4 linked regions of the Rhinolophus ferrumequinum genome follow. The protein of the gene in region 1 interacts with the protein of each later gene in a pairwise test. Links are inferred from orthologs where the notes say so. Each region holds a gene or a part of one and is shown in the gene's direction. Other genes may lie near its edges. The genes, in order: MORF4L1, CAMK2B, L3MBTL3 and ZBTB9.

Region 1 (7,168 bases):
GATACCTCCAGCATTGTTCTTTTTTTGTTAGGCTTGCTTTGGCTATTCAGGGTCTTTTGTGGTTCCATAAAATCTGATGATTTTTTTGTTCTATTTCTTTTAAAAATTCCATTGGAATTTTGATGGGATTGCATTAAATCTGTATATTGCTTTGGGTAATATGGCCAATTTAACTATGTTGGTTCTTCCAATCCATGAGCACGGAACGTCTTTGCATTTCTTTGCTACATGGTATTTTCAATTGATTTCAGAGCCTGCTTTAGCTTTTGAATCATCGTCTATTGTGTGAACAACAGGGCACGGCCGAGTAGAACACCGTCGGGCCCTAGAAAAACCCCAGGAACCTCAAAGCCACACGGGCCGAGAAGGCCCCTTTTCAGCCGTGTTCTGGTCTCCAGTCTTCTCTGCTGATGGCGCAGGCATTCCTGCTTGTGCATCGGGCACACGGGTGTCGGGCACCCTAGGTCCGCGCCACAGGCGTGTACTTCGCCCCGGGATCTCGGGGTGAACTGGCTGTTCCCGCTGGCGTCTGGTCTTGGCGGGGGTCTGGGACCACCTGCACCCGCCGCTGCGCCGCGACCGCTAGAGGGCCGTTTGTGCCTTTTCTGAACAGTAAGTTTGTGCGCGCAGAACCAGGCATGGAACGCACATTTGGAAGTAGTGAAAAACTTTACTGAAAACAATTATTAAAAAAAAAAAAAAAAAAGATGCAAAAAGTCAGTTTCAGAGCAAGTTAAAATAATCTTATTCCTTTGAAGTGAGCTAGGAATGGCACATTTCCTGACTGCCCGGCTAGCTCAGTCGGTAGAGCATGGGACTCTTAATCCCAGGGTCGTGGGTTCGAGCCCCACGTTGGGCGGCGGTTCGTTCAGTTTTGTTTTCCAGCTGCATTTTAGGTCTCGTCAGCGGTAATCATTTTTTACCAGCTTCAGTTCTCGTCAATGGTAATAACGGACTTCAATCTGGAGTCTATTTTCAAACAACACAGGACAAAAAACTACTAAGATTGAACAGATTAAAAGAGGGAACCGTGCAACTATAAGGCGATTTCATCTTATAAATACACAGTTAAAGGCTATCTGGTGTAGAGAAATATTTGTCACCGGGTGGTCTATTGAAGGACAGTGGAGTGCCAAAGGTCAGGGAATAAGAAGACAGGAAAAATAGTGAAACCGTGGCGTTCCTAAATATTGCGGAAGTGATCTCTGTCAAAACGTTTGAAATGTGTTTTTAACTTAATACTGTGAGATATTGAAGGTTAATTTGGAGATCAGCTCTACTTCACAGGATTCACTGTGCATATTAATTTCACATTTGTAAATTCCTTTAAGTAAGGACTAGTGATTATTATGGGCTGTTTAAACCACTGTAATATTGTGTTAGTTAGCTAGTCAGGTGGCTCTTGTGAACAGAACCTTAGGACTTTTTTATCCTTTGTTTTCCCTAAGTTAGTAATTCAAACTGAAGAATTTTCCCTTGGCCATTTTTGTCTTAAAACATATCTCAAAACAAGTAATTATATTTTCCTACATGTTTTCCTAAAAGAACTCAATTTCTTGTGGCAAAACTTTGCTTTTAGGTTAACACCTGCAAATTCTTTCCTTGTCTTATTTTCCATCATTCTCAGTAATTGTCAAGCATTCTCCACAATTACCATATGTTATTATCATCAATTCAAACACAATTTTAGACTTTGGAAGAAAGACATGGAAATTTTCAGCATCAAAAATGAAGATCCCTAAGTACCCCTATTACAGAGTAGTCCTTCATCGCTAGGTGATGGGAGGTGAAGTAGAAACTTTCTGAAGGCAACCCATGGCAGAGAGACGCCAGCTGGTGAGAGGTCAGGGAAGATGTCACATATCCATTTCACGTTGAAGACCAGCATTATGGGTTGAATCGTGTCCTCTTAAAATTCGTATGTAGGATTCCTAACCTCTAGGGCTTCAGAATGTGACCTTATTTGGAAATAAGTTTGTTGTAGATGTAATTAGTTAGATGTGGTCATAGTGGAGTAGAATGGGCTCTTAATCCAGTTTGACTGTTGTCTTTATATAAAGGGGAAATTTGGAGACAGACACACAGGAGAACGCCATGTGAGGATGAAGGCAGAGATTGGGGTGATGCTTCTACAAGCCAAGGAAACCAGAGATGGCCAGCAACCATGGAAGTGGGGAGAGGCACGGAACAGCGTCAGCCTCACAGTGGTCAGATGGAACCAACCCTGCCAACACCTTGACTTTGGACTTGTAGTCTCCAGAATTGTGAGGCAATACATTTGTTGTGTAAGTCACTCAGTTTGTGGAACTCTGTTATGATAGCCCCAGAAAACAGATCTTGTTACTGGTGCTAGGTTCCTTGCCCCTCTCAGGGTAGAAATCAAGAGAGTGGATGAAATAGTTTTGCAGAGAGAAAGGTTTATTAAAGCGAAAGCTTGATGTACAAAGGGAGCAGACTCCAAGAGAGAATGGATGTGGCTCCCTGAGGTTTACAGATACAGCAGGTTTCTAGGCTCTTGGGGTTGGGAGTCACCCCTTCCTCTCTCTCCCTCCCCGCCAAAGTTTGTTGAGGTGGGTCCTTTCCTGCGCCTGTGCAGTATACCTACAAGCGCTACTTCATTGCAAGTTTCATCTTAAATCTCCGCCTTAAGGTTTTTTTTTAATGTGATAATGAGGAAAAGTTAACTATACCGACAGCTCTTTAGTGTGCATGTGCTACTTTAGAAACTTTCCCTGGGCCGCTCATCTCTCCTGCGATTTTGGTTTTGTTATCTCCTTGTTTCTTGTTGGCCGTCCCTGTGGCTCAAGGATTTTCTCTTCAGGTGTAGGCTCGGCCACGTGACCACCCTACGTGATCACCAACTACAATATAATCAGTGTTCTAGTGGGTGGCAATTTTGATTGTAATGTTTTTTTCCTTATTAAGTAATTGTTATCTCCATTTCATTTAATTTCAAAAGCCTTGGGAAAAGCACTGGTTTTGTTTCGATGTTGGGGGAATGGGTGGGTAAAGGACTGAGGTGGGAAAGAAACTTTTCATTGTCTTCATTTTTATATTTTTAAAATTATGGATTATTGAATTTGAATTATTTTGAAGTATTTTGTGTTCAAAAGAAGAGGTGTACGGGGCAGTTTTGGTGCGGTGGGTGGGGTCACAAAGAGGCCCTTGCCTCTTCCGTTGATACTCTGCGGACTAGGACAGACAAGATGGTGTGTAGACAACTGGAATGAGGGTTCTTTGTGGGTGTTCAAAGAAGGGCTTGTGTTAGGAGGAAGACTGAAGGAGAAATAGGAGTCAGAGAAATGGAGAGAGGTCTGCAAGTAGTGGGGTGCTCAGCCGTTCGGGGAGTTGAGGGAAGCCATGGAGATAAGCTGAAGGCCTGGGGGGATGTCGAGGGCCTTTGGTGGAATGCCTTTGAGGCTTGTCCTCCTTCACGTTTGTCGAGCGAGGAATTCACTGTTAGGCACTCAGCCTTTTTGTGCAATTCTCACAATAAGTCGATTCGGCAGCTGAGCAACCTAAGGCCTTTTGAATGTGTGGTCAGCCGTTCACGATGTGTGTGTACATTCAGTAATAGCTCACAGAAACTTGACAAAAGGCTGCGCACGTGGGGCGGTGGGCACCCGACTCGGAGGAGGGTGTTACAGGTCGTTATTCACCTCGGCCTACTGGGAAGGCAGGTAGCGCGCCATCGTCTCCTGCCTCCCGCCGGGTGGGCTCTTCAAGCCACGCGCGGGCTGGCAGCGAGCTCGCAGATTGTGGCCGGACCGCGGGTCCCCAACGCTGCCACACGCACGCGGATACCCCTAGAGATGCCGTCGGAAGTACTGAAAGTGTTTAGACGCATCTTTCCTCGTAGGCCTTTCATGCCACATCCTGCTGGCCCGTGTCGCCCGTGGGGTTGCACACTGGGTCTTTCCAGCTCGTTTTCGCTGGCGAGGGACCGCCTCCAGCACCGCGCCCCAACACTGCCCCGAATCAGTCCGGGTTTCACCCACCCGGGTTGCGGGGCTGGGGGATGAGGGATGGGGGATGGGAGGAGCCCCTCCCCGCCCGCTCAACGGCTGGAACTACCACTTCCAGCATGCCCCGGGCGGCGCGGCGCAGGGCGCGTGCGCGGTGGGCGGTGGTTGGCAGGCGCGGCTGCGCAGTCGCGGCTGTGTGAGGTGTGCAGGCGCCGGCAAATCGCGCCCGGGATCTAGAGCTGGCGCTGCCCACGGCGTCTGACGCGGAGCTGGGTGGGCTGGAGAGTGGGGGGCGGTAGTGCGAGTGGTGGGAGAAGGAGGAGGCGGCGGCGAATCCCTATAAATGGCGCCGAAGCAGGACCCGAAGCCTAAATTCCAGGAGGGTGAGTCTGGGCCTTGGGAGAGGCATCTAACGGCGGCGGGGCGGGCGGGCGCGGCGGGGCGGTGGCGCGGAGGGGCCGAGCGGGGCTTCGTGCAGAAGCGCATTGCGGCGCGGCTTTGGGCGCGGCCCGGGCGCAGCGCTTTGTGAGGCGAAGGCGCTCGGCGGGCGCGGCGGAGCCTCCCTCAGCGTGTGTTGTGTGGGGGCGGCGGCGGGAGGGACGGGCGCCATGGCGGCGCGGAGGCGGCGATGTGGCGGGAGGGGCGCGGGCCCCCGCGGGGCGGACAACGGCTGGCGCTCGGGGTCGCCTCGGGCCCGGGGCGGCGGCGTTGGCTGGAGGCGCCGAGCCGCGGCGGGGCGGGCGGGGCGCCCGGGCTGGGGAGAGCCGCGCCGTGAAATGGCCGCCGCAAGATGGCCGCCGGCGTCGCCCTGCGCCCGCCTCCGCGGGGCGGCGGCGGCGGCGGCGGCTTTGTGCTGCCTGCAGGCAGCGCTTGGCGGCCCGGCGGTCGAGTGCGCTCTCGCCGGGCGGCTGCTCGTGAAGAGAAAGCCGCTCGGATGGTGTGTTACGAGGCGTCTGTTCACGAACCCTGGTGCCCTCGCGTCATCCTTCCAGTCCGCAGTGGACTCACGGCGGTGGCGTTTGACTAACTGGTTAGGAAGCTGAGTGAGTTTGGATTAATTGGCTTTTGATCGACGAGGTTTTGGGCTGACGGCAGAACCTGCCCTGCAGCGGAAGACAGCCCTTTGAGTTCACGATTAACGCGTCCGTTACCGTGTGTTCAAGTGGAGACGTCATAGGAAAGGAAAATGGAAGCAGAGACCTGTAAACAAGCAGGGACGCTCTGAAACGTACCTCGTTGCTGTGGATGTGCGAGCTGCTTGAGCACAGATGTCGAGACGGCCGCAAAACAATGTCTTTTGTTGTAGGGGTTTTCAAACTTGCGTGTGTTTTAGAATTACTTTTAGAGTCCTATGTCCAAAGCCCAAGTATTTTGTAACTTTATGGAATATTTAAGAGGTTTTTAAGGGTATTTTTGATAACGATGGGCTCCTAATAGCCGCTTTCTCCTACCTTGAGAAGCTGGGACTACCTCCTATGGGTATATATATATATATATTTTTTTACTTGTTATTTTAGAGCAGGATTCTTATTCTAGTGGATGTAATTCAGAAGATTCGTGAACTTGGACGGGAACATTTTTTTATTGTCTAACTGAAAATTATTTCAATTAGGAATATAGCCCCCCCACACACACACCAAAAAAAACCCGTGCGGTGGGATTGTTACAATTCCTGCCTCTAGCCGTCTGCCTCAGTATTAGCAATATGTTTTCATATCGCAACGTTACCGTTGCAGAAGGTACATTCAGTGTCATTTATGTTCCTCATTACTTCAAAATTATGCTAGTTACTGGATCAGTAGCTAAATGTTTACTATATCAGTTGAGCTCACGTAATACAGAAAATGATATTTAAAATGTTTTGCTAACTATTTCAATATAGTTGGTTTCCTGTCATACTCTGTGTTTATGTATTTATAATAACATTCTGGAAAAAAGGCCCATATGCTTCACCAGATCGTCAAGGGTCGATGATACAAAAAGTTAATCCCTAGTTTAGGACATCAAAGGAGGAAAATCACTGAGGATTGGAATTGTCGGGTAACTTTCTGAGGAGGAAGTGCTTTAGTTCTGAAGTAGGGGGATGGCAGCGTGAGGGGAATAACAGCAAATGAGTCCGTGTGCTGCAATAGTGGTGAATTAGAGAAGAGTGGAAACCAGGGTTCCCTTAGGTTTTTGAAAGCTACCTAAGAGAGTCTGCCTTTACTATCACTTTACAGATGTGTTTTCTTCTCCTGTCAAAGCTGAGTTGTATAATAACCATCGTTAAGAAATTATCATTATTTATATGACATGTTCAGAGGATATGTCGTAAGGAAAAAGGAATGTTATGTTAGTGCTGACAATTGTAATAGAACACTGCAGAAGAATTGAGATTATGTAATGGCGGAAATATGAATTATTAGAAGTATGTTTTTCATGATTCCTTTATTTTTTTTTATTAGAAGTATGTTTTTCATGATTCCTTTCTTTTTTTTTTTCCATGATTCCTTTAAAAACTCATTTTTTTCTCATTTAAACAATGGTGCAACTTACGTTATATAAGCAATTTTTAAAAGCACATTTTTTTTGCACTTGGTCTTCCACTTGAAATTCTGTTAAAGCATATGGTAAAGAAACTCGAGCACCTGGCCCATTGTCAAAGGGAAGGCCCTTTGCCTTGTGTCAGGAATTAAGAGACTGGCTAATGCTGGCCTTTGAGTTCCTAGTAAGCACAAACCAGTGGGCGAAAGGGGGTTTGGAATCTTAATTAACCTTGAATTTGAGAGCATTGGGCAGAATTACCTTTGTAGTTTGATACTAAAAAGGATTAAGAGTGGAGAAAGGTTTTTTTTAAAAAAAAAACAACATCTAATACGTGGTTTTCCTCTTTCTCCCGCAATTACCAGTCTTTCTTTTTACTACTTCATGAAAATCAGGCATATGTTGTCCTGGATCATAACTCTTCAGCCAGCCTATATTTTTCAACAGAAGATTTAGGGCCATGTAGCTAGAATGGAGGCCAAAGGGCTTAAGCCCAGTGCATTTGGTGGCGGCAGCCAAAAGGATGGTGAGGAGGAAGGCCATTTTCAGGGTGCTTTTAAAGTGTACCTGGAGAGGAGCTATGAGCCACAGATCTGAGCTTTGGTGCTGCTGTTTATTAGCTTATTTACATCCCCATGGTCTCCTTGCTCACAATATTCAACGGTGGCTCTAGCCCAGCT
Region 2 (7,718 bases), on another chromosome or scaffold:
AAGACCTTTTCCTCAGCACCTTGGAGCTAAGTGAAGTCTTGATTAGATTCTGGCCGATGGGTGTCAGGGGAGGGTCATGTGGCCAGAAGCTGATGAGTGCCCACAGTCCATCCTCCTTTTCGCTATCCGACTCCTAGGGACCTGGACGCAATGGCTGGGTCTCTATGTTGGAACACTAGGAAGAGAGCCAGCCCTGGCAGCAGAGGTGCCCCCTCTGGGTGCTTGGGGGCAGGGAAGTCCTTGGCTGATACACACAGGTCCTCTGTGTCTGCGATGGGAACCCCAGGCCTATAGCCACTTCAGCACGCATGCCCTGTGTGCTTACGGGTAGGAGGTGAGCAGGTGGGCACAGGAGGGGCCTGAGTGCAGGTCTCCTGACTCACACCAAGATGCAGTTTCCACAACAAAACCCTGGCGTCCATGGTGAAGGAGGTACAATCTGGGAGTGGCTCCCCGGCCCCTCCTAGCTATTTGGGACACTGGTGTCATGCTGCCTGAACAGCCCTGGTCGAGGGAGACAATTGTGTGAGCCCAATACAAGGTCGGCGGAGAGATGGGTTGGGACAAAGCCTGGACTTCTGGGGCCCAGCGTCACAGGCATCTCCAGAAGAATGGTGGTGACACCAACCAGGAGGGATGCGATGGAGTTGGACCAGAACAGGCCACTGGCCTGGGGCTTGGGGAGGGGGTCCCAGTCAACCAGAGGCCGGGGAGGGGTTCAGGAGAGGTGGCAGGAGCAGGGCTGAGCCCCTGCCCGCGAGCGGGCCCAGCAGGGACGCCTGTACGCTGAGCGTATGGTCTTTTGCATACAGTGCTGCCCACCTTGGGCTTGGATTCCTAGTGAAAAAGAGGAGGTCTGCAGGTCTGTCCCCTCATGTCCTTCATGCCGGACACTCGCTGTGTCCCAGGCTAACTGGTTAGCTTTGTCACTTTGTTTGTTAGTGTTTAGGTGGCTCAGACTCCCTTGGGGGACTCAGGTACCAAGCAGAACGCGCAGATGAACAAATGATAGAGCATGGCGGTGCCTTGCAGGCCCTCTCTTCCCCCCTTCTTCTTTCCCAACACACCAGCCAGCTCCAGCCACAGAGCCCTTGCATCATGGCTGCTTCTGCCTGCAGTGCCCTTCCCCTATCCTAGTGTCTCTGTCATTCAGATCTCAGCTTAAATGTCACCTCCTCAGAGGGGCTTCCCCTGGCACGTACTCTGAAGTTATCACCCTGTCACTCTCCAGCAAATCACTACTCAGTGTTTTTACATTTGTTTCTTGTTGGTCTTCGGCATGAGCCCACCTCATTCCCAAGTGTGACTCGGTGCTGGGCAGAGCCAGGCACAAATGGCACACAGTAACCACATGAACAAGGCCAGTAGTCACCCTTGAGCAGACACAGTGGCTAAAGGTAGCAGATATAAAGTCAGGCAGATCTGGGTGCCAATACTGGTTTTGTCACAAACTGGCTTTGTGACCTGAGCCCAGTTACAGTCTTTCTGTGCCTCAGTTTCCTCATTTGTAAAAGGAGGCTAACGATAGCCCCTATCTTGCAAGGTTGCTATAACGTTTACATGAGGTGGTGGGTGTTAGACCTTCAGATTTTCCAGTATGTAGTGAGTACATTGTAAATTATAGCTTGGCCACCATCACCTTCGCTGTCACCTCCATCACCACCATTATCACCCCATCACCACCACATCACCACCACCATCACCACCACCACCACCACCACCACCATCACCACCACCACCACCACCACCACCACCACCATCACCACCACCACCACCACCACCACCACCATCACCACCACCACCACCACCACCACCATCACCACCATCACCATCACCACCATCATCACCACCACACCACCATCACCATCACCACCACCATCACCACCACCACCACCATCACCATCACCACCATCACCACCACATCACCACCACCATCACCTCCACCACCACCACCACCATCACCACCATCACCACCATCACCATCATCATCACCATCACTACCAAATCGTCCTCCCACATGTTTGCCACAGCATCCTGCATGGGCTGCCACATCATGGGCCAGGTGATTGGACATGGATGACTGGGATCTTTGTGCTCTAGGGAACTGCAGCATGCTCGTCCAGGCAGATGACTGTGCCTGAGAGAGGTGGTGGCAGTGACATCCCTCCCATAACAGCAGCCCCTGGGGGTGAGGGGACAGAGGATGCCATGGCTTTCCTTGGGGGACTGAGCCCCAGTGCAGCACTTTTGGCTCTGCAGATGTGATGCTCGTTGCCATGGGGACCATCCTAACAATAACCTCCCAGAACTGAGAGCTGATATTCCCCACACCCGCCCCAGCTGCCACCTGGGAGGGAGAGCCCTCCTCACTGATGAAAGCCAGCTAGAAAGGATAAGGGGGGAGGCGGAGATGACATGGGGGTGCGGGTGGAAGAGGTCCCTTCCAAAAGGAGGGATGGGAAGCAAAACCCAGATGAGAGGCCTTCTGGGCAGCCCCAGAAAGAGTTATGGCTGGCAGCCCCTCACTCTTCTAGCTTTTCCACTCTGCGGGGGAGGAGCCCTCTGGGCCTGGAGGTGGGGAGCGAGTTGCTCTGTGAGTGGGGTGAGGGGCTGGGCTGTGTAGGACTGTCAGGGTCTCTGGAGGCTCAGCCGTTCCCCATAATGGTGCTCTGCCCTCAAGGTTGCTCTGCGTCGCACCTTTAATGTTTCAGCCCAGGGGAGGGACTGCGCAGGGAACTTCAGGTCCTAACAGGAGAAAAGGGGGCTCAAACTGCACCCCTTTGGTGACCCTGACTTCTTGTATAACCTTGGACCTGGGCAGCCTCCTCACCCAGGGAAAGGGACCTCAAAACAAAGCACCCAGAGTGCTGCTGTGGAAGCCATGCATGTGTGTTACTGTGTGTATGTGTGAGTGTGCGAGTGTGTGAAAATAAGACGAGGCGTTGTAGAGCAGTGGGGTTTCAGTCCCAAGCATGTTCTAGCTGTGTCACCTCTCTCTCTTTCTCCCTTCTAATAAAATGGGTATAGTAATAGTATAACCCTCCTAGGATTGTTTGAGGATTAAATAAGATAATTCATGTAGAATCAGGTAAGCAAATCAGCGTCGTCATGCCTTTAATGTCACTTCATCATGGCATGGACTCGCGCTGGTACGAGTGTGTGACCTTGGCAGCACCCAGAGTCTACTTGTAGCCTGGAGAGAGACTGATTTGCCCAGGGGTGCAATTTTGTTTTGTTTGCTCTTTGCATTCTATTGTGAGCTCAGAACCACGCAGATGGCCCAGCATGTTGGGGGAGAGGCTCCTGCGGGGTTGAACACAACCCCAGAGCAAGCCTCTGCTGGTCTGTGAGGGGCCTCACAGGAAAGGTGGGTATCGTCTGTCAGGACAGCTGAGGGCTCTGGTCCCAGCACCGTGGCATGGCAGTGGTCTCCCATCCTGCCAACCCTGCTGCAATCAAGGCCATGCCCCCAAAGGCCCCTCACTGCCCCCAGTCAGGACTCACCCGATTATCCTTGGCCTCTGTCTTCTGGGTGCAAATTGGGTCTGCAAAAGCACGCAGAACCTGGACTGGTCCCACCTGGTCTGCTAATCTGTCCGATATCCATGTGCCAAAGGCAACTTGGTGGAGCAGGCCCTGGCTGCCTCCACCCCAGAATCCCTTCGATGTGATCTTTTATCCAGGAAACATTTATTGTGGCCTCTGGGGCCAGCCCTGGACTGGCCACCAAGGTGAGTGATGAGCAGGAGCAGGGCAGGCCAAGTGCCCACCACTGGGAGCCTACCTGCCGTGCTGTCAGTGGCTCACGTCAGGGCAGCCAGGCAACCCAAGTCCAGAGCTAGCTGAAAATTTCCTTCCTCAGGGCCAGTCCAGGATGGGCCCTGGCCCCGGCCGCTCAGGGAGTGTGGGGGTACCAGATCCCGGTGGGTCCTCTTCTGGATCTGAAGTCCCCATTCTAGGCGGCAGCCTGGGCGTGGCCCTGGGGGAGATTCTTCTGTGGAAAATTGGGGTCAGCCAGCTTCTCCTGCCAGCCCTCGTGCTCCCTCCTCCTCCTCCCCCAGGATGGACCCTCTTCTATCAGACCAGAGGAGGTGGGGGTCAGGCAGGTGGATGACGCCTGGCACAGGGGAGAATGTGTCCTCCTACCCCAGCAGGGGCTCAGGACACGAGTTCCCCTGACTCAAGGACCCTGGGCCTGAACTCCAACCGCCCCCTTGCTGGGACCTCTAGTGCAGACACCCCAGCACCCAAGGCTAGGAGGAGTGAGGGAGGGAGCGTTTGGGACCATGGGCAGGGGGCAGCCTCCAACCTTTCACCTCCCACCCCCAGGATCTCCAGTGCGCACTCTGGTTTGGGGGTGACAGGACCATGCGGTGTGCGGACGGGTCAGTACAGAGTCTCCTCCCAGGGGTGTGAGGGATGAATCCTGTGGAACGTAGCACACGTGCCCCCATCCCCTGTGCGCCCAGTGCCCTCTCGCAGTCCTGGGCAAGGTGGGCCTTAAGGCGAGAGGGGGTTGGATTCACTGTGTGGTCTCGTTTGTGTGCGCGCGCGCAGAGGGTCGCCAGCAGACGCAGCCGGCTGTGGTTCTGTGCGTGGCCCTGAGCTCCAAGGACTTGTGTTCAGGGCACATGTGTGTGTGCGCGCGCGCGCGCGCGTGCGTGTGCAGGGCGCGGGTGCGGATGAGGGCGCGGGTGCGGGGCTCGCGCAGGGGGCGGCAGGCGGGATAGGCACGGCAGGCTCGGCGGTGACAGCAGCGCCCGCGCTCCCCGCGCGTAGGTGTGCAGCGCGCTCCTGGCGGGCACGGAGCGCGCAGATCTCGCGTGCGCTCGCAGCCCAGCTTGGCCCCCTCCTGGCGCTGCGAGCCGAGGTGTCGCCCGCGTCCGCGTCGCCGTGCCCGCGAGCGGGAGCCGGAGTCGCCGCCGCCCGAGCGCAGCAGAGCGCACGCCGAGCCCGTCCGTCTCCGCCATGGCCACCACGGTGACCTGCACCCGCTTCACTGACGAGTACCAGCTCTACGAGGATATTGGCAAGTAAGAGCCGCGGCGCGTGCGTGCGGGGCCGGGACCCCGGACACCCGGACCTCCGCGCCGCCAGCTCCGGGCGCACTGCGGCCCGGCGCGCCCCCGGCTCCCACCGGCTCCGGGCCCGGAACGCACCGGCTCCGAGGCCCGGACCCCTGGGCTCCTGGCCAGGTCGCCGGACCTCCGCGTGCTCGGCCCTGCCTGGTCCTGCTCAGCGAGGTCGCCCAGCCAGAAGCCCCGGCTCGGGACGTGGGGATCAGTGCGGCGGGGGCGGCAGCAGGTGTCCCCCGAGCGCCCCGCAGACGTGACGCATTTGGCGGCGGGAGGTCAGAGAGGAGGGGCGCGCCTGGGCAGCTCTGGGTCCTGGAGCGTGAGGGAGGGGGCAGCCGGGGCCGAGGGTCATCCCTGGTGTGGGCCGTGCTGTCCCCACCCCCACTGAGCGGCTGGGCGCGGGGGCGGCAGGACCTGCTTGGGCGCCTGCTCCTCCTCGTGGCTCCATCCGCGCGGGTGTCGTGGGGCGGGGGTGCTCGCTGCGCTTTGGGCCGCGTGAGAACAACCTATGCCGCGGGTCCCCCAGGGAATCTGTTCTGGGGGATTTTCCCGAGATCCTTCCGGAAGGAGGAGTCTGGAGAGCTGGAAACCGAGGTCAGGGAACTGGGGTTAGGTCACTGGGCTGGAGATAAGGCGGTCAGGTGGGGAGCCTGCGGGGGCTCCTGATTTCAGAGTCCTAGAGGTAGGTGGGGGCCGGTGGGGAGGTGTTTGAAGGCTCCTTTCAGGTAAGGCCACATCTGGGAACAGGTGGCTCCCGGCTCTACTCGCCAATGTGAAGGGTGTAGGGCCTGAGCCCTGGCTTTGCGGGGGGGGTTGCATCACGAAGCCCGTCAGGCGCTTCTCTGTGGCCGGGGCTGCTGGCGCCGTGAATCGGGGGGCTTTACCCCAGCCTGCTGCCAATGAGCCCCGTCCTCCTCCATCGTCCTCCATCCCAGCTGCGGAGGTTTCCTCTTACACACCCAGCGGCGGATCCTTTCTTTCTCTTTCTAAACAAATGTCTGTGTTGACACCTTGTTTGGGGTGCATGCTGACCATTGATGATTGTGGGTGCGGAGTTGGGAGGAGGCTGGGGTGCAAATACCCAGGCCTAGGGGCTGCGGGGTGACCTGCAGGGGCCCATGGTGGGGCCAAGGCTGGGCGGCGTACCCACAAACTCCCTGCCCTTGAGTGGGGTTGGTTGGGTGTCGGGCCCCAAGGCGGCTGGACCTGGAAACAGAGCAGAGGTAAGGGCAGGGTCTGCTTTCCCCGGTTCCCACCCACGACACCAGCTGGGGGCGGCAGTGGGAGGAAGGGCATCCCTTCCAGGGGACTTCACATTGTTCTTCACCCTCAGGGCTGCCTCTCTGTGAGCCCCCATTTCCTTGCTGGATGACCCTGGCTTCACATTCCTGTGAAGCTCTGGTCCCAGCAGTGAGTGCTGAGCATGGCAGCTGCCACCCACAGCCACACTGGGAAGTGGGGTCCTTGGGGCTGTCCTGGGGAGCCAGAGCGGGTGGCAGCCCCCACAGTGCAGGTGCACCCCTACCCCGGCCTGAGTGGGTGAAGAGGCCTAGTGTGTGTGTGGGGGGAGGGGCAGGGCCTGAGAGGAAGGGAGGGGAACAGGGATTCAGCTAGGCCTGGAGCCCTTTGTGGAGCGCCCCCAGGTGTGAGGCTCAGCCCTGCTGGGTGACTGCAGGAACTGGGCATTCAGCCACCCCACCCAGGGCTGGGGTCCTCAGTGGCCATGTTGGCTGGTTGTTGACAGTGCCTGGCCTCCCAGAGACACAGTTGGTGTTGCTTCCTGGCCCAGGTGGATGTGTCCAAGTTTATTTAAAGCTGCAGCCCCTGGCACCAGTCAGATGACGCTGAGCGCCCTGCCTGGGAAGGCCAGGCCACTGGCCCACAGCTGCCCCTGTGACGTGGCTGCCAGCTTCTCCGGTCTCCCTCATCCCTTTCTCTACCCCCGCCAACTGCCAGGCATTGTCCACTGGGGCCTGGACTACAGGGTCCGAGGGCCAAAGGAGCTGTTTTCTGGGGCCCTGCCTTTGTCCGGCTGGGCCGGGCTGACGTGACCCATGTCCTGGGTTAAGAGCCACCTCGAGCTGGGGGTCCCCAGACAGGACAGAGCTGGGTAGGACACTCAGCCCAGCACAGAGCCTCCCGCAGTGTGGTTTTAATGTGATTTCTCTTGATTTTAATCTGGGTGGATTTTTAATTTTATTTTTTAAATTTATTGGGGTGACAATTGTTAGTAAAATTACATAGATTTCAGGTGTGCAATTCTGTATCACATCATCCATAAATCACACTGTGTGTTCACCACCCAGAGTCAGCTCCCCTTCCATCACCATACATTTGATCCCCCTCACCCTCATCCCCCACCCCCCAACCCCCTTACCCTCTGGTAACCACCAAATTATGTTCCCCATGGGTGGATTTTTAAAATTGAGAACACTTCCCGGAGTAGTGTGTCTGTTCTGCCCAGAACTTAAAACTGTCCCTCCTCGATTGCCCTTTTGGCTTTAAGTTGTTTTTATAAGTTATAAGCCGTGAAGCATCACAGATCAGTGTGAAGCGCCATTTCCTCCAGCTGCTGTCATGCTCGTGGCGTTTGTCCTCCTTTTTTGGTTAATTTACACACAGATGGAAGTGTCCATAACTAAT
Region 3 (7,500 bases), on another chromosome or scaffold:
TTCTACTTAGGTAGTTTGTAATGCCTAATAGCTAATGAACTTGCACTCTACCTTTTTCTGTCTGTGAATAGTTTAGTTTTTGTAATGCCTATCAACTGACTTTATCTTCAGTATTTCCAGTTCACATGGCCAAGTGTGAGAATATGACTGGTGCAATTTCATCATTTTCAGTCATATGGGAAAGCATACCCTGCTGACTCATAGTCCACCTCTAGCTACTCGATTCAGTCATTGGATTAAATGCTCACTCCTGGACCAATCAGCTGTGGCCAGGAGGCCAGGTTAAACGAAAAGAGCATTCTAAACAGGATCTAAGTGTATCAGCGGCTGTTGTCACAGACATCTTCTCAAGTCTGGCTTGTGCCTCTAGCATTGTTTAGTTATAAGGCTTCTGGATTTGGGCTTTAAATGAGTACGTATGTTATGGAAAATTATAACCTGTCTTTTTCCTTTTAATTTAGGAGTTAGTTTACATTCCCATATTATTCCACACCTTTGAACATGTCTGTCATATTTCTATCTTTACCTTTGCATGTAAACGAAATGATAATAAATATTCACATCTCTCCAGAAGCTCTTTATGTATTAATTTCCTTAAGATGTTGAGAGCATGATACACATTATAATCCTTTCCTTACCTGATGAATAATATACCCTTTTCCTTTCACCCTCAGCATTTCAATTACATTTCACTATCACAAGCTCTGTACTCATAATGTATGCAGATGTATCACAGAAAGATAACCAGGATTCAAATTAGAGTGCCTATATGAACATTTTGGTGTTATCTAGAACACTTAACAAGAAAATCAAACTCAGCTCTTACAAATATCAATAATAAGAATCTTGGCCAAATCAATGTTAACATCATTTTTATACTTGGAAAAACATGGAGCACACAATTACGTAGGCCAAAAAGATCAATAATTTGACTCATATTTAAAAGTAAGATAATACATTTAAAGGTTGATTTCAAATATTGTTCATTTAGAAATTTCTACGAAAGATTCAATTTTACCTTAAAACTTGCACACATTATAACATGGGAGGCTGGGGTTAGGAAAGAAGTTTGTAGCTATGAAAACACATCAAAACTAACTAGCCATTAGGGAATGGAACCCATGACCTTCATCTCATTAGTACCAGGTTTAAACCAACTGAATGAGCTATAAACTGATAACATTTTGATACCTAGCAGATGGATGGATTTTCCTTCCTTACTTAAAATTCCTTTCTTGGTTCCACATTATTTGTACTAAAATGTGATAGTGGTCCTGTTAGGTGGGAAGTATGGGGACGGACATGGTTTTCAAAGAGACCTCAGAAATCAATTACTCTGTTTTCTTAATCGAACTCAGGAGAGAATTGAAGCCCTGAAAAGGGAAATAAGCTCAGTAATGGTTCCCAGTGGGTGGTGACAGAACCAGATTAGAATGAAAATTTCTTGGCCTTCACTCCTGGGCACTTTTCATTTGTGAGGGGCTGGCTCCTGGAGGAGGTTGTCCTTGAGTTTTTCCGTGTCCTATCAATGCAGAACAAGTTTAGTTTTAGGAAAAGGGAGCTTTGGTTTCTCAATGGAAGTTGACAGAGTGAAGGTTGCAGCATGGCGTACAGCGAGAGAGGTTTTGAATGATCTTCATCTGGGAGGTGGTGAGAAGCCTTAGAAACCCTGAAGATTTGTTTTAACACATTTTCCATGGAAAATGATTTTAGCTTCCGAATATTTAGGAATGGAGTAATCTGAAGTTACTTTGAGGGCAATGAGTTTGGAAATAAATAAATACAAAGGAAACTAAAGGAGTGAGCTAAGACCTTAGTTTAGAATTTCAGGGAAGTTATAGACCTGGTCTGAAGGATGGATTTGGTATTGTAGGTGTGGTAGGGTAAAGCAGGGGGGATGGGAAGAGGGGAGAGTGGTAGAGAATGATGAGATTAAGTGATGCCGGAAAGAAAGAATTCATGACTTACTAACCAGTGACTGAATGGTGGAAGGGTGAAGGAAAGCAAAGATGCTTCCACTAGTATACTACCATTTAGGGAACAGATGGAGAAAGGTCATGTGACTAGTACCAGTTCGAATGAAGAATACCGCAGTACTATGTAGATTCTAATACTGCATTGTGCCTCTGTGTACAGTGGTGGCGCCAAAGGATTCTTTGTAGGAAAAATGGTAGCAGCCTTTAAAGTCATTATTATTCTTACACATGAATACCTTCAAAATATTTGTTATTCTGAACCACATCTTGGCAACTACTGAGATGAAATCTTTGAGGTTATATTGATGATCTCTTGAGGAGAAAGACAATGTAGAGACAGCCTCCTGATTTTTGTTAGTGAACTTCAGTAAGTGCATAGGCCCCAGGCAAGCCTTGTTCTCCAAACCCTTGGACTTCTACTCAGGATTTCTCTGATTGGATCACCTTCCCAGAGGAAAGGTGCAAGCACACACCCTGGACACTTATCCTTCAAATCAGCTTAACTATGACTGTTTTTAGAAAACCTTTTCTTATTACTATAGGTGCTCCTCAGTTGTACTTGCTCTGCAAACCCCTACTACAGTATTTACCATACTATAATGCAATGCCCAGTTTACTAGACTGTTTCTCTTGCCGGACTAACTTCTTTTGGGCTTAGTTTTTATCTTGTGTTATTTCCCCAGCACCCTGCAGAGCACTTAGCACAAGGTAGGCCGTTAATAGGTTTACAGACTGTTGAACCAACATCTCTGAAAATATATGTGAAATAGAAATATCATCCAGAACTTATCTACAGAGAATGAATCTAAAATGGATTTTCAGAAAGAGGAATCTAAAATTAATTTTAGTTTCTTTTGGGGTAAGGTCTTAGTTTTGCACATAGCTCGTGGGCTTTCTTTCCTTCTCTTCCTGTAGTTGGCCTTTGGCCATTGCAGTGCTCATTATTCAAGGACTAGAGAGAAAAGGAGAGAAGCTGAAATTTAGATTAATAATGCTGTTTGGGAGCAGCTCTGAAAAAGGTTGGATGTGGTGGGTGAAATGAATAGTTAACTTGCAGTATGAGATTATCTATAGCTTTCAGTAACCCAGCCTTCCACACTTCACCCCTAAGCCAAAGGCTTCCCAACATATGAAGCATATTTTATAAGCTTATTTCAACCTTACAGTGTTTGTTCCTTTGTTCTTGAGTACATATCAAGCCATACACGTATGTCCTGATTTTTGACTTGGAGAATTCCCTCATTAGACCAACAGAAGAAATAGTCTGGTGGTCTGCTTCTCTAGGGTAATTTCATGGTCCTGAGGAAAGAATTTAACAGTTTATTTTCTGAAACTGGTTCAAGGAACATTCCTTAAGTGAAAAAAATTCAATCAAGAATAATATTACTTACATTTTGGAGAAGGATTTTTAATACAGAATTTCCATCTGTGATATATTTCAATTCTAGGCCTCAGGCAGCAATTGCAGATAAGGGCCTCCTTTACTCTTTATTAGATACAAAATAAATAGTACAGTTTCAGGGACTGGGGCCTCTGCCTTACTTTCCCACCGCTGCAAAAATGTAAGAGTTGGTTCCATCATTCCTGAAATCACACAGGCTACTTTATTTCTTGCACAGCAAACTCTGTTATTGACATTAAGATGGTTATCATAACTTCAATTGTTTGAATTATTTTGTAAGTGCTTGTACCTAGGAAAAAAGGAGAATGGTGAGCTGCCCAAAGGAGGCCTACAGTCAATAAATGGAAAGTTGTCAATACCGAAATACAGTACTCTCTTAATCTAGTTTTGATGCCTTAACAAAGGCAGATTTTGCTATTTAGGACCGCTCAGCCATCTTGATTGAATACATTAAAAGGCAGTCTTCGACTTGCTTATTGCCAAGGTACTTTAACACTGATTTCTAAGTTGATGTACGGATCTCAACACACTAGTACTTCATAACAAAGGCCTAACATGTTTAAAAGCCGTCAAAGAGACCAACACTTAAGAAACGGAAAGAACACGCATTTTACACGCATACTTTATTATGCATTCTTCCAGTCCTACAGAGAGGGAGGTTCTACTGCGTAAAAGCTTAAAACTTTATTTCATATTTTTCATGACCTGTGGCATGCATTTAGCCTTTGGGTAGTGTCTGTATAAGACTAAGGCCCACTCTTTAATGGCTGAATGCATACATTGAACAGTACGTGGTGGATTAGCTGCTCTGAGAATTGTCTTTTTAAAAAAGTAAAGTGAAAAATAGACAAAGAAATCTATAACCTTAGCTGTCTTTCAGATTTGTTTTGACTGTTCTTGAACCAGCTCTGAGCCAGTGACAAGGATATTGAAAAGATGCACCTGAAACAGTATCTGCGGGCAGCTGCATTTGCCAATCGGCTTTATTGCTGCTTTCCAGCGGCGAAGGCGCAGCAGCAGTAAGAGGGAAGCCAGAGCGAGCCTCCCCGGCAGCGGCGGCGGCGGCGGCTGCGGCGGCGGCACCGGCACCAGCGCAGTTTCCCCTCTCCCCAGCCCTGACTCTACGCGCACATGCGCACTGCGCCCGCAGCCCTGGACCATTTGTCAGGACTACTCGTGAGACGGAGAAAAAAAAAAGAGAAATTTTGGGGGTAAGAAGCGTTTGATCGGATCTAATCTCTAATTAATCTGAAGATTTGTCCGTGCAAAGGCCATTCATTTATTTTTCTGTGTGAGGATGAAAGTTAAGAGACCTATAGAGAGAAGGAAGCGCACCCTCGTCTTGTGAAACAGATCAGGGGAGGGGAAAGGACAGAAGGGGTTTCTCCCCCACTTCTCTGCGCCTCTGGGAAAGAGGAGAAAACTTAATCCTGGGGGGAAAAGTGGGCAAGTGACTCGGAAATGGCTGGAGGGGGAGTCTCTGTGCATCTCACTCTGAAGTAGTGAGTGCGAGTGTGAAAGAGGAACAAAAGAGAGAGAAAAGAGAAAGGAAAAAATGGGGGGAGGAGAGACTTGTATTTTTTTCTTTGCGCGCACACGGGGAAGGGTGTGTGGGGCCGTGCGGAAGGGAGCCGGGGCGAGGCGGCCGCGTCGGGCTCTCGCCGGCGCGCAGGCGGCGGGATGCGTGTGGGCCCCCTCCCCCGCGCCCCCCCGAGCTTGTCACTTTGGTCGCTTTCATGACACCGGGCGCGGGGTGGGGGAAGCGCGGCGGCGCCGGGCTCCGCCAGGGTGCGTGCCCGAGTGGGCGCCGCGGAGCCGCAGCTCGGGCGGCGAGCGCAGCCGCCGAGGCGGGGGGCGCCGGCGGGGGGCGCGGGGGCGGCTGGGGCCGCGGATCCGTGCGGCGGGAGGCACGAGCCCCGCGCGCCGCCCCTGCGGCCCCCTCCGCCCGTGTGGCCTTTGTGCCGAGCGCGCACCGGAGAGCGAGCGAGCGAGCGAGCGCGAGAAGTACAAGTACGGGAGACCGAGGCAGTGGGAAAAGAGGCCGGGCCACTTTCTCCCCGCTTGGGCTGCGGAGAATGGACTGGTTGAATGTGCAGGCGCGTCTCCCCGGCGTGTGCTGTGTGTGCACGGCGGAAAGGCCTCCCCGACTCCCACCGCGCACACGCACACTCACACGCACGCACACACTCACGGACCCGCGGCGGGGCTCGGCGGCCGAGAGTTTGCATTTTCTTCCTCGCCACCTCCCCCTTCCCGACCGACTGTGTGAGAATTTCATATAGATCAGCTCCAATTTCCGCCATTTTGGGAAAGTTGCACAAAAATAAACCCTCCGGTTTATTTCTGCCCGAGGCAGGAAAGTGCTTCGGGAAGCGAGGCGGCGCGGGCCCGCCGCGGCCGTCCGCGCAGGGGAAGGCGCGGGCCGCGGGCCGGGCCGGGAGCCCGCGCCGTCGCGGCGTTTGCCCCGCGCCCTGCCGCGCCGCGCCGGCCCGGGTGCGGGCGTGTGTCGGGAGGCGGCGGTAGCGGCGGGCGGCGGCGACCGCCGCGCCTGGGCGGCGTTGGGGGGGGCAGGCGCGGGGCTGCTTTTCCTGCAACTTGTTTACGCCGTCCTTATATTGGGGAGGCAAAGAGGGGTCCGAGGTGGGGCCGTTGCCGGCCTGGAGCCGCGTGCGTGTGCCATTCCGGAATAATGGGTTTTGCACACTCGCGTCCTGGGCCCGGCGGGCCGTCCTCGCGCCGCGGCGGCCGGGCGGGGGGAAGTAGAGGCCGACGGGGGTGGGGATCGGGAAGCGCAGGAGCCGCGGCATCCGCCGCGCGCCGGGCGAGCTGGTGTGGGGGGGGGAGAGGGAGGAAAACTTGTGAGTCCTGGAGGCGGGGGGCGGGGTACGGTGGCATGGGCTGGGGGAGGGCGCAACTTTAGTGCTGGTGGTAAAACTTTAATTACCTTAAAAAAAAAAAGGCCCTATAATCCTCCCCCCCCACCTCTGGTGAAAGCACGGCCCACAGTGCGACCGTGAGAGAAAGTTTAAAAGCGGACGATCTCCTCCCCACCTTCCCCGCGGAGGGGTGGGGGTATCTGTCCGTCTGCGCTCCGAGGAAGGTGGGGGTAACAAGTCGCCCTCCGGGGTGGCTCAGACCGTGGCTCTCACCCCACCCTTCTACGGGGAGACGAAGGTAAACGTCGCTTCGGTTTCCCTCCCTCCCCCCGCTTCCTTTTCCTCCCCCTCCCCGCCGATTTTTTGAGGGGACCCAAAAAACGGAGTCTCTTTCCTTATGCAACTTCCTCGGCGCTGTTAGCTCGGCCCTTCCCCCTCCCTGCATCCCTTGGCCCGCTCCTTAACCACCTCGGGTCTACCGCCAGAAAAATGCATTAGAGATCATTCAAAGTGCACAGAAACAAAAATAGATTTTTAATTGTTCTAAGTTTAAGTTAAGGGAAACAGATGAGAAATAAGAACGGGGAGGGGGGTGGCCGGGGCGAGTGCGTCGATTTTTTAATTTTGTTTTTACTAGAGCGTTGTTTGTGATATCTTTATTGATTTTGGGAGCCCGCGAGTCTCCGTACTGGCTAGCTCGGTCGCGTGGATTTTTGCGCAAGTTTTTAGAAAAACACTGACTCGAGTAGAGCATTTCTCCGGAAAGTTTCAAGTGCAGCAAAATAGCGAACGTGCAAAACTGGCCAAGGGGAGACCTCTAGTGGTTAAACGCATCTTTAAGTTCGGAAGGCCGAGAGCAAAGTTTGGCCTTTACTTGGAGCTACGTGGTCCGTTCAGACGTGGAAGTAATTAGAGGACCTGAGCTAGCAGCCAGATGTTGTGTGAAAGGATGCTGATCAGAAATAGAATGTTCAGTAAATCGGGGAGCAAATTGATTCTAAAGACCCAGACCCTATAACTTCCATTCCTTATTATTTATATGGGAAAAATACTTTGCTTTTATTTTGGACTTTGAGCTTCGTCACTCCCTGGATTAGAAATCTATTTTTTTCTTATTTATGGTTGTCTATACATTTGATCAACTTTTAATCAGGAGAAAGCGGATAATTTCATTTTGAATGTTAGTAAAAGTACAAAGTACAATATGTGTTTAAAACTGAAAAAATGAAAAAGACCTTTGGTTGAA
Region 4 (7,004 bases), on another chromosome or scaffold:
TTCCTGGTGTGAACTGGTTTCCTGGTGTGCTTCCCTGGGTTGAAGGCCCTTGTTAGGAGACGGGGGGTAAGATTCTCTTCTCCCTGAGCCCAGAAGATGTAACTTCTACTGCAGGTGAGAAACAAAATAGGAGGGAGGTTGGGGTTGTCCTGAGGGAAGGGGTGGGACCTGGCATCTGGAGCGGGCTGGCTAAGGGGGAGGCCACTAGAGAGGGCTGGCACCCAGGCCCCCTCGAAGCGTCTCAATAAGTCCGCGCTCTCCTCTTTGGTGTCTTGCAGGAGAGGCAGCTTCCCCCCTTGGGTCCAACAAACCCGCGTGTGACGCTGGCCCCACCTTGGAACGGCCTGGCCCCCCCAGCCCCGCCCCCCCCACCCCGGCTGCAGATCACCGAGAACGGCGAGTTCCGAAACACCGCGGACCACTAGCCACCCAGCATCACACACCTTCTTCCTGACCATGCACCCCACCTGAACAGCACCAACCAACAGGACTGGACTTCGCCGAGGGACAGCGGGGTTGCTCCCTGAAGGCCTCCTTGGGGGGCACCAGTCTCCCCCCTTCACTGCACCATTTCCAGGAGGGAGAGTGGGGACCCTTAGCTGCCCCTTTTTCTTTCCTGTTGGGGTGCTGCCCCCTGTAACCCACCAAGGACCCTTGCCCCAGGACACCACCTACCCCACACAGACCCCTTCACTCCGGGGTGCTATCCCCATCCTCTGCCTCATCGTTCCCCTGAGCACTGGGGGACAGACCCTAGCCCCCACCCTGGGGGTGTGGCACCTCCAAACTTTCAACTTCAGGGTGATTTTTTAGCAGTAACCAGAGCTGACAATCTAACTCCCCTCCACCGCCCCATTTTGGCCTCCCCTGTCCCCCTTGTTATGGGGAGGGGACCCCAGGTGAGGGGGCCCTATTACCCCTTGATTTCTCAGGAGCGTCTGGGGGGGCTCAGCACGCACAAACTCCTTCTCCTCCTACCACTCTTAAATTTACTCCCTCCCCACCCAGAACCCAGATGGGGTGGAGGGGCCACCGGGGCAGGGAGGGGGCGGCAAGGGAGGAAGGGGAATTGTGTCCCCTTCTTCCCACACCTGATCTGCTCTTGGCTGGTCCCAGAGCGGGGTGAGGGGGCTTATGCCCTCCCCTCCCCCAGTATGTTGGGTGGGGTGGAATTGAGGTTAGGGTGAGGGGTTAGGGTTTGGGGGGGGTGTGTGTTGGGGAGGACAGACTAGCTGGTCTGCCCTACCCTGGCACACGCAGCCCCCTGCCCCCCCCTTCTTGGTCTCTACTCCCAGGGGGAGGAGGGAACTTACTCTAGGAAAAGCCATGTCTCTCTCCCCCAGGGTGGGGGGACCTGTGTTGGAGGAGGGGTGTTGGGGGGCCCCTTCCATGACTCTGTCCCCCAGGGGGAGGTAGGACAGGGCTGGGCCACCCTTTCATCCTCCCCCCACCCCAATCTCCCTCCACCTCCCTCCTTCCCGCCAGCTCCACAATTTTTTCGGTGTTTCTCTGTACATAGCTCTCTGGCGGGATAGGGGAGGTAGGATGGATGGGGCTTGGGGTGGGTAGGTCATGGGAGGGGAGAAACCCCTCCTTGACACCCCCTCTTCCCTGACTGCTGTCCCCTCCCCAGCCTTGCCCCCTCATCCCTTCTTGCGTTTGGTATTGAGACTTCGCAGACTCCATCCTTCTTTCTTTTGTATGGACAGTTCCCCTTCAGTCCCCTTCCCCTATACACGTACACCCAGCCGGGGCCAAATTTATACTTATATAAAAGTTGTAAATATGTGAAATTTTATCCCTGTGCCCTTTCCTTGCTTTCCCAACTTCAGACCCAACCCTGGACCCCCTCTCCTCCTCCTCTCTTCTTTGGCTGTTGTAATTATCTGGGGTTTGTACTGTACATATCCGGGGTGTGTGTGTGTGGGCTGGGGGCAACCCCTCTGTACAGAGCTTCCTGGCCCCCTCCCCCCATGCTACCCTCCCCACCCACCACCCTAAGGGTAGGGAGATGCTCTTCCTACCTGTTTTATTTTGTTTTCTCGTTCTCCCTCCCCACCCAGCCCCACTCCCAGCCTTCTCTACCCCACCACTGTCCCTTTTTCTCCACTCCCAGCCCCATTTCCTTTTTTTCTGGAGTGTGTGGTGAAACAGAAAAATCATGTTTAATAAACGGAGATTGTTCTTTTATCACTACGCTGATTTTCCTAGGCTGGGGCCTCCAGGACCAGCACAGTGATCGGATCTGCTTTTTTGGGAGGGGGCTTACAGCCTAGGAGAAACTACCCCTGCATGATGCCATAGTGTGCTCCTAGAATACCACTCTCCCATCCAGTGAGATTTACTGTTTTAGAGCAGGGGTGTTAAAAAACAAAACTCGACTGAGTAAATTTAAAGATCTAATTGGCTTTATTCACTGATTCATGAATTGGGCAGCATCCCGTCTAGCGAATAGGAAGGATCTCAGCCCAGCTACAGAAAAGGAAAGGTTTTTAAAGGTGGAAAGGGGTGGAAAACAGAATTAGCAAAGAACGCATTGTCGCAGGCAAGGTCCCCCTCCTAAGGGGCACAGAAGGGGTCCTCACTATAGAGCTGCAGGTAATTCCAGGTTGACTACCTAAAGCAGGGGTGTCCAAACTGCGGCCCACGGGCCAACTGCGGCTTGCAATCCATTGTTAATTGGCCTGCAGCAAATTCCAAACATATATTTAGTTTACTTAAATAAACCAGGTGAGGCAATACGTACTTCACCTCGAGTGAGTGGCCCGGCTGTGTGTGTATTTTACCGCATACGGCCCTTGGTGAAAAACGCTGAAAAAAGTTGGACACCCCCTGACCTAAAGGTTACATTCGAGGGACAGGGTAAAACTGCAATTAGGTTAAGTATTGATTCTTAGTTTGCAGACATGGGCTTGGCACAGGTGACTCCATTTTGGACCTGCTGTCTGTTTTGTAACAGGGTTTTGCACTGGCCGAACACCCAGTCTAGCTCTCCCCTCACCTCTGCCCCACTTAAGCCCAAGGAGTAAAGCCAAGGAATCTGATAAAAGATTCCAAGTATATATCTACATATATCTTTTTGGGGAAAAAATTACCTAGAAATAAGGTTTAATTGCTGGTTGAAATGCTCCCGTGCAGAATGGAGGAAAGAACGTGGTTCCTTGGCAAACTGGGTTTCAACGCCAGAGCCACCAGTTGCCAGCCTCGGTTTTCTCCCTGTGGGGACAGAGTCCAGAGTGCAGTTTCCAGGCTCTCGGCCTCACGAGGAAGGGTGCTGGCTCAGGTAGTAAATGGCCATCAACTGTGATCGGATGGCCATCAGCTGTAACCAGTGAGCCATTGGCCACTAATATAACTGCTGTGGCTATGCTAGCAGAAAATGGGGGCTAGCAAGATGGTGGCTGAGCTGGTGAGAGCTGATTGCAGTTAGCACGGCGGATTGCAGTTAGCAAGTGAGGTTGGTTGGCAGAGAGAGAAGTGGATGGCGGGTTGCGTGTGGCTTCTGCTACCTGTGTCTCCAACCCATCCGCCAGTGAGACTATAGTGGTATGACTCCCCTATCTAGGGCTCCATGGGTGTTCCTTTTTGGCCTCATCATGTCCTGCGTTCTTATGTGGGGAGCGGGGCCAGAGACCCCGCATGCCACCCTGCATGACACCCTCCTCCCCTCCCCCAAGAAAACAGGAGGGCAACACCTACCTCGCAGGGCAGGGGTAGGACCCAGGGAGATGTGGCCAGTGCCCAGCCCACACAGCAGGTGCCCACTTAATCTCGCCCTCTCGGCACCTGGCTGGGCACCCGCAGTACATTTTATCACCAAGGCGGCTCACTAGTCTCCCCTCCTACCGCTCAACGCTTCCCAGGCCCGACCCCCGGGCCTCCCGCAACGGCGGCCGCCGTGAGACGAGCACCGCTTCTCGCCCGCGCAACCAATCAACACGAGGCCCGTCGGCCTCCGATTGGCTGTTCGTAGCCCGCCCTCCGCATCCGGCGTCGGCGAGCGCCGGGAGGAGGTGGCTTCCGGCCGGCGGCGCGGTGGTGGTTTAGACGCTCTCCGGCCGCGCGGCGCGTGTACCGGCGGGGGCGTGGCGGCGGGAAGGACGAGGACGGCGCGGCCGGCGCTCGGGGTCTCCCGGAGCCGCGTCTTCCCGGGAGCCGCGCCCTGTGGGCACCGTAGGGGAAACGGAGCGGCGGCAGGAGCCGCCCAGGGCCGGGGGTCGGTCAGGCTCGTGGCTGAAGGTCCTCCTCATCTTGTTCCGCACGCGCTGGAAGTGAAACCCCTGGTTGGTGCTTGGTTGTTTTTGTTTTGTTGGTGGGGATGTGCGCGGGCCTGATCTGCAGCAACCATCACTGAAAATGGGGGGTGGGGAGGCGGGTGGTATCTGAGGTGATATGGTCCCTTTATCCGATGTGACCCCCGTCTCTTTCCACCGCAGCTTTCATCCCGCGTGGGGTCTTCCACGCCCCTCATTTGCTCTCGATCCTGAGACATCTCTCCTTCCTAGGAGGCCATGGATACCTCGACGCCTTTGCCTCCGGTCCCCCCGTCCCCGATCTGCAACCCAGCGCCACGGACCATCCAGATAGACTTCCCTCAACATAGCTCGTTGCTGCTGGAAGCCCTGAACCGTCACAGGCTAGAGGGAAAGTTCTGTGATGTGTCGCTCCTGGTGCAGGGCCGGGAGCTTAGGGCTCACAAAGCAGTGCTGGCTGCTGCCTCTCCTTACTTCCATGACAAACTTCTTCTGGGGGACGCGCCACGGCTCACTCTGCCCAGCATCATTGAAGCTGATGCCTTCGAGGGGCTGCTCCAGCTCATTTATTCAGGGCGCCTCCGCCTGCCGCTGGATGCGCTCCCTGCCCACCTCCTTGTGGCCAGTGGCCTCCAGATGTGGCAAGTAGTAGATCAGTGCTCAGAGATCCTGAGAGAATTAGACACCTCAGGTGGTGGAATGTCAGCCCGTGGAGCGACCCCTTGTCACACACTTCTTTCCACCACGTCCTCTACGGGAGGTTGGTGCATTCACTCTTCCTCTTTCCAGACTCCAGTGCAGTCTTCTGCTTCTACCGAGAGCCCCTTTGGAGGGGAGGGGAGTGAACTGGGAGAGGTGCTACAGATTCAGGTTGAGGAAGAGGAGGAAGAGGAGGAGGAAGAAGATGATGAAGACCAGGGGTCAGCAACACTCTCTCAGACTCCTCAGCCTCCGAGAGTATCATGGATTCCCCGCACTCATGGATCCCACCCACTGCCCATGTCCACCGTTCCCTGTAGGCTTCCGGAGGATGGGAGTGCACCAGCTGAACCTCCTGCCCCTCTAACCACACTGCACCCCAAAATCTTCTACGTTAAGCAGGAACCTTTTGAGCCTAAGGAGGAGATATCAGGAGGTGGGACTCAGTCTGGAGGAGTAAAGGAGGAGACCAAAGTGGTTCCTGGAGGGGACGCTGAAGGGACTAGAGAGCTGGGGTTCTTGCTTCCCTCAGGAGCAGGGGCAGCATCTGGGGAAGGGGGTCCATCCTGGAAACCCGTGGATCTTCATGGGAATGAGATCCTGTCAGGCGGTGGGGGACCTGGGGGTGCAGGGCAGGCTGTGCATGGGCCTGTGAAGCTAGGTGGGGCACCCCCTGAAGATGGAAAACGCTTTGGTTGCTTGTGTGGGAAGCGGTTTGCAGTGAAGCCAAAGCGTGACCGGCACATCATGCTGACCTTCAGCCTTCGGCCCTTTGGCTGTGGCATCTGCAACAAGCGCTTCAAGCTGAAGCACCACCTGACGGAGCATATGAAGACCCATGCTGGAGCCCTGCATGCCTGTCCCCACTGTGGTCGTCGGTTCCGAGTCCATGCCTGTTTCCTTCGCCACCAGGACCTATGCAAGGGCCAGGGCTGGGCCACTGCTCACTGGACTTACAAGTGACCACTGAGGCCATACACTAACTTCCAGGACGAGAGCTACTGCTGCTGATGACGCTTACCCCTCACTACCGTGACACCCCAGTCCTGGATCTTGTAATCATGCCAAAAGGAGAGATACATTATGGACTCTTGTTCTTGGGTGTGGGCCTCAACCTGGCAGATTTGGAAACTCAGATTTTTCATCCCACTCCAGGTTTTGACTAATCACCCTTAGCCAAGTGGTTTACAGGCCATATGTAAATTGGTCACTTGCCCACAATAGACCTGCTTTTCATACAGGAAACCAGATTGCACATTAGAAGTTTATCTGAAGAGAGAAAAGTTAGAACAAGAAGACAAAATGATAAATGTTTCATTCAGTCTCCATGAGGAGTAAAAGGGGCTGGTCTCCACCTAGGGGTATGTTTGATTCAGAGCTTTAGTAATTCAGAGGCTAAGCTCTAAGTTTCCTTTCCCTCATCATAGGGGAAATGTGAACAAAATTCTTTTTTTTTTTCTAACAGGACTTTATTGGGGAACAGTGTGTACTTCCAGGACTTTTTTCCAAGTCAAGTTGTCCTTTTGGTCTTAGTTGTGGAGGGCGCAGCTCAGCTCCAGGTCCAGTTGCCGTTGCTAGTTGCAGGGGGCACAGCCCACCATCCCTTGCGGGAGTCGAACCGGCAACCTTGTGGTTGAGAGCCCGCGCTCCAACCAACTGAGCCATTCGGGAGGCAGCTCAGCTCAAGGTGCCGTGTTCAATCTTAGTTGCAGGGGGCGCTGCCCACCATCCTTTGTGGGACTCGAGGAATCGAACTGGCAACCTTGTGGTTGAGAGCCCGCTGGCCCATGTGGGAATCCAGCGGGCAGCCTTCGGAGTTAGGAGCATGGAGCTCTAACCGCCTGAGCCACCGGGCTGGCCCCAGAATTCTGAATATGTACTTTCCTTATGTCTTTCCAGAAGTCCCTCAGGGTGTAACTTGCTTTCTCACCAGTAGACACCTTCCCAACACCTTTATGTTTATGTTGTAGTTGAACACTTTAAAGTTGAGCGCTCCATGTGTCACCCCTGGGAACCCCTGTAACAGAGAGCATTCCCCCCTCAGCCTGTGCC

The links.
Region 2: the proteins of MORF4L1 (region 1) and CAMK2B interact in binary tests that used the Homo sapiens proteins (3 or more experiments, as listed by UniProt). The two-hybrid records come from large-scale screens. The link is inferred for Rhinolophus ferrumequinum from reciprocal best matches to the Homo sapiens genes MORF4L1 and CAMK2B.
Region 3: the proteins of MORF4L1 (region 1) and L3MBTL3 interact in binary tests that used the Homo sapiens proteins (3 or more experiments, as listed by UniProt). The two-hybrid records come from large-scale screens. The link is inferred for Rhinolophus ferrumequinum from reciprocal best matches to the Homo sapiens genes MORF4L1 and L3MBTL3.
Region 4: the proteins of MORF4L1 (region 1) and ZBTB9 interact in binary tests that used the Homo sapiens proteins (3 or more experiments, as listed by UniProt). The two-hybrid records come from large-scale screens. The link is inferred for Rhinolophus ferrumequinum from reciprocal best matches to the Homo sapiens genes MORF4L1 and ZBTB9.

Annotation. Positions count from the first base shown.
Region 1 is NC_046311.1:885,974-893,141, forward strand, and holds the start of MORF4L1 (mortality factor 4-like protein 1), read left to right. Parts: upstream 1-4,160; 5' UTR 4,161-4,308; coding exon 4,309-4,348; intron 4,349-7,168. UniProt on the Homo sapiens protein: Component of the NuA4 histone acetyltransferase (HAT) complex which is involved in transcriptional activation of select genes principally by acetylation of nucleosomal histones H4 and H2A.
Region 2 is NC_046303.1:208,226-215,943, reverse strand, and holds the start of CAMK2B (calcium/calmodulin-dependent protein kinase type II subunit beta), read left to right. Parts: upstream 1-4,713; 5' UTR 4,714-4,968; coding exon 4,969-5,033; intron 5,034-7,718. UniProt on the Homo sapiens protein: Calcium/calmodulin-dependent protein kinase that functions autonomously after Ca(2+)/calmodulin-binding and autophosphorylation, and is involved in dendritic spine and synapse formation, neuronal plasticity and regulation of sarcoplasmic reticulum Ca(2+) transport in skeletal muscle.
Region 3 is NC_046286.1:77,800,876-77,808,375, forward strand, and holds the start of L3MBTL3 (lethal(3)malignant brain tumor-like protein 3), read left to right. Parts: upstream 1-4,482; 5' UTR 4,483-4,589; intron 4,590-5,264; exon of another isoform or gene 5,265-5,388; intron 5,389-5,444; exon of another isoform or gene 5,445-5,643; intron 5,644-6,300; exon of another isoform or gene 6,301-6,552; intron 6,553-7,500. UniProt on the Homo sapiens protein: Is a negative regulator of Notch target genes expression, required for RBPJ-mediated transcriptional repression. It recruits KDM1A to Notch-responsive elements and promotes KDM1A-mediated H3K4me demethylation.
Region 4 is NC_046286.1:3,764,098-3,771,101, forward strand, and holds ZBTB9 (zinc finger and BTB domain-containing protein 9), read left to right. Parts: upstream 1-4,022; 5' UTR 4,023-4,283; intron 4,284-4,436; 5' UTR 4,437-4,511; coding exon 4,512-5,915; 3' UTR 5,916-6,497; downstream 6,498-7,004. Other genes in the region: SYNGAP1 (ras/Rap GTPase-activating protein SynGAP), read left to right, coding at 279-425. UniProt on the Homo sapiens protein: May be involved in transcriptional regulation.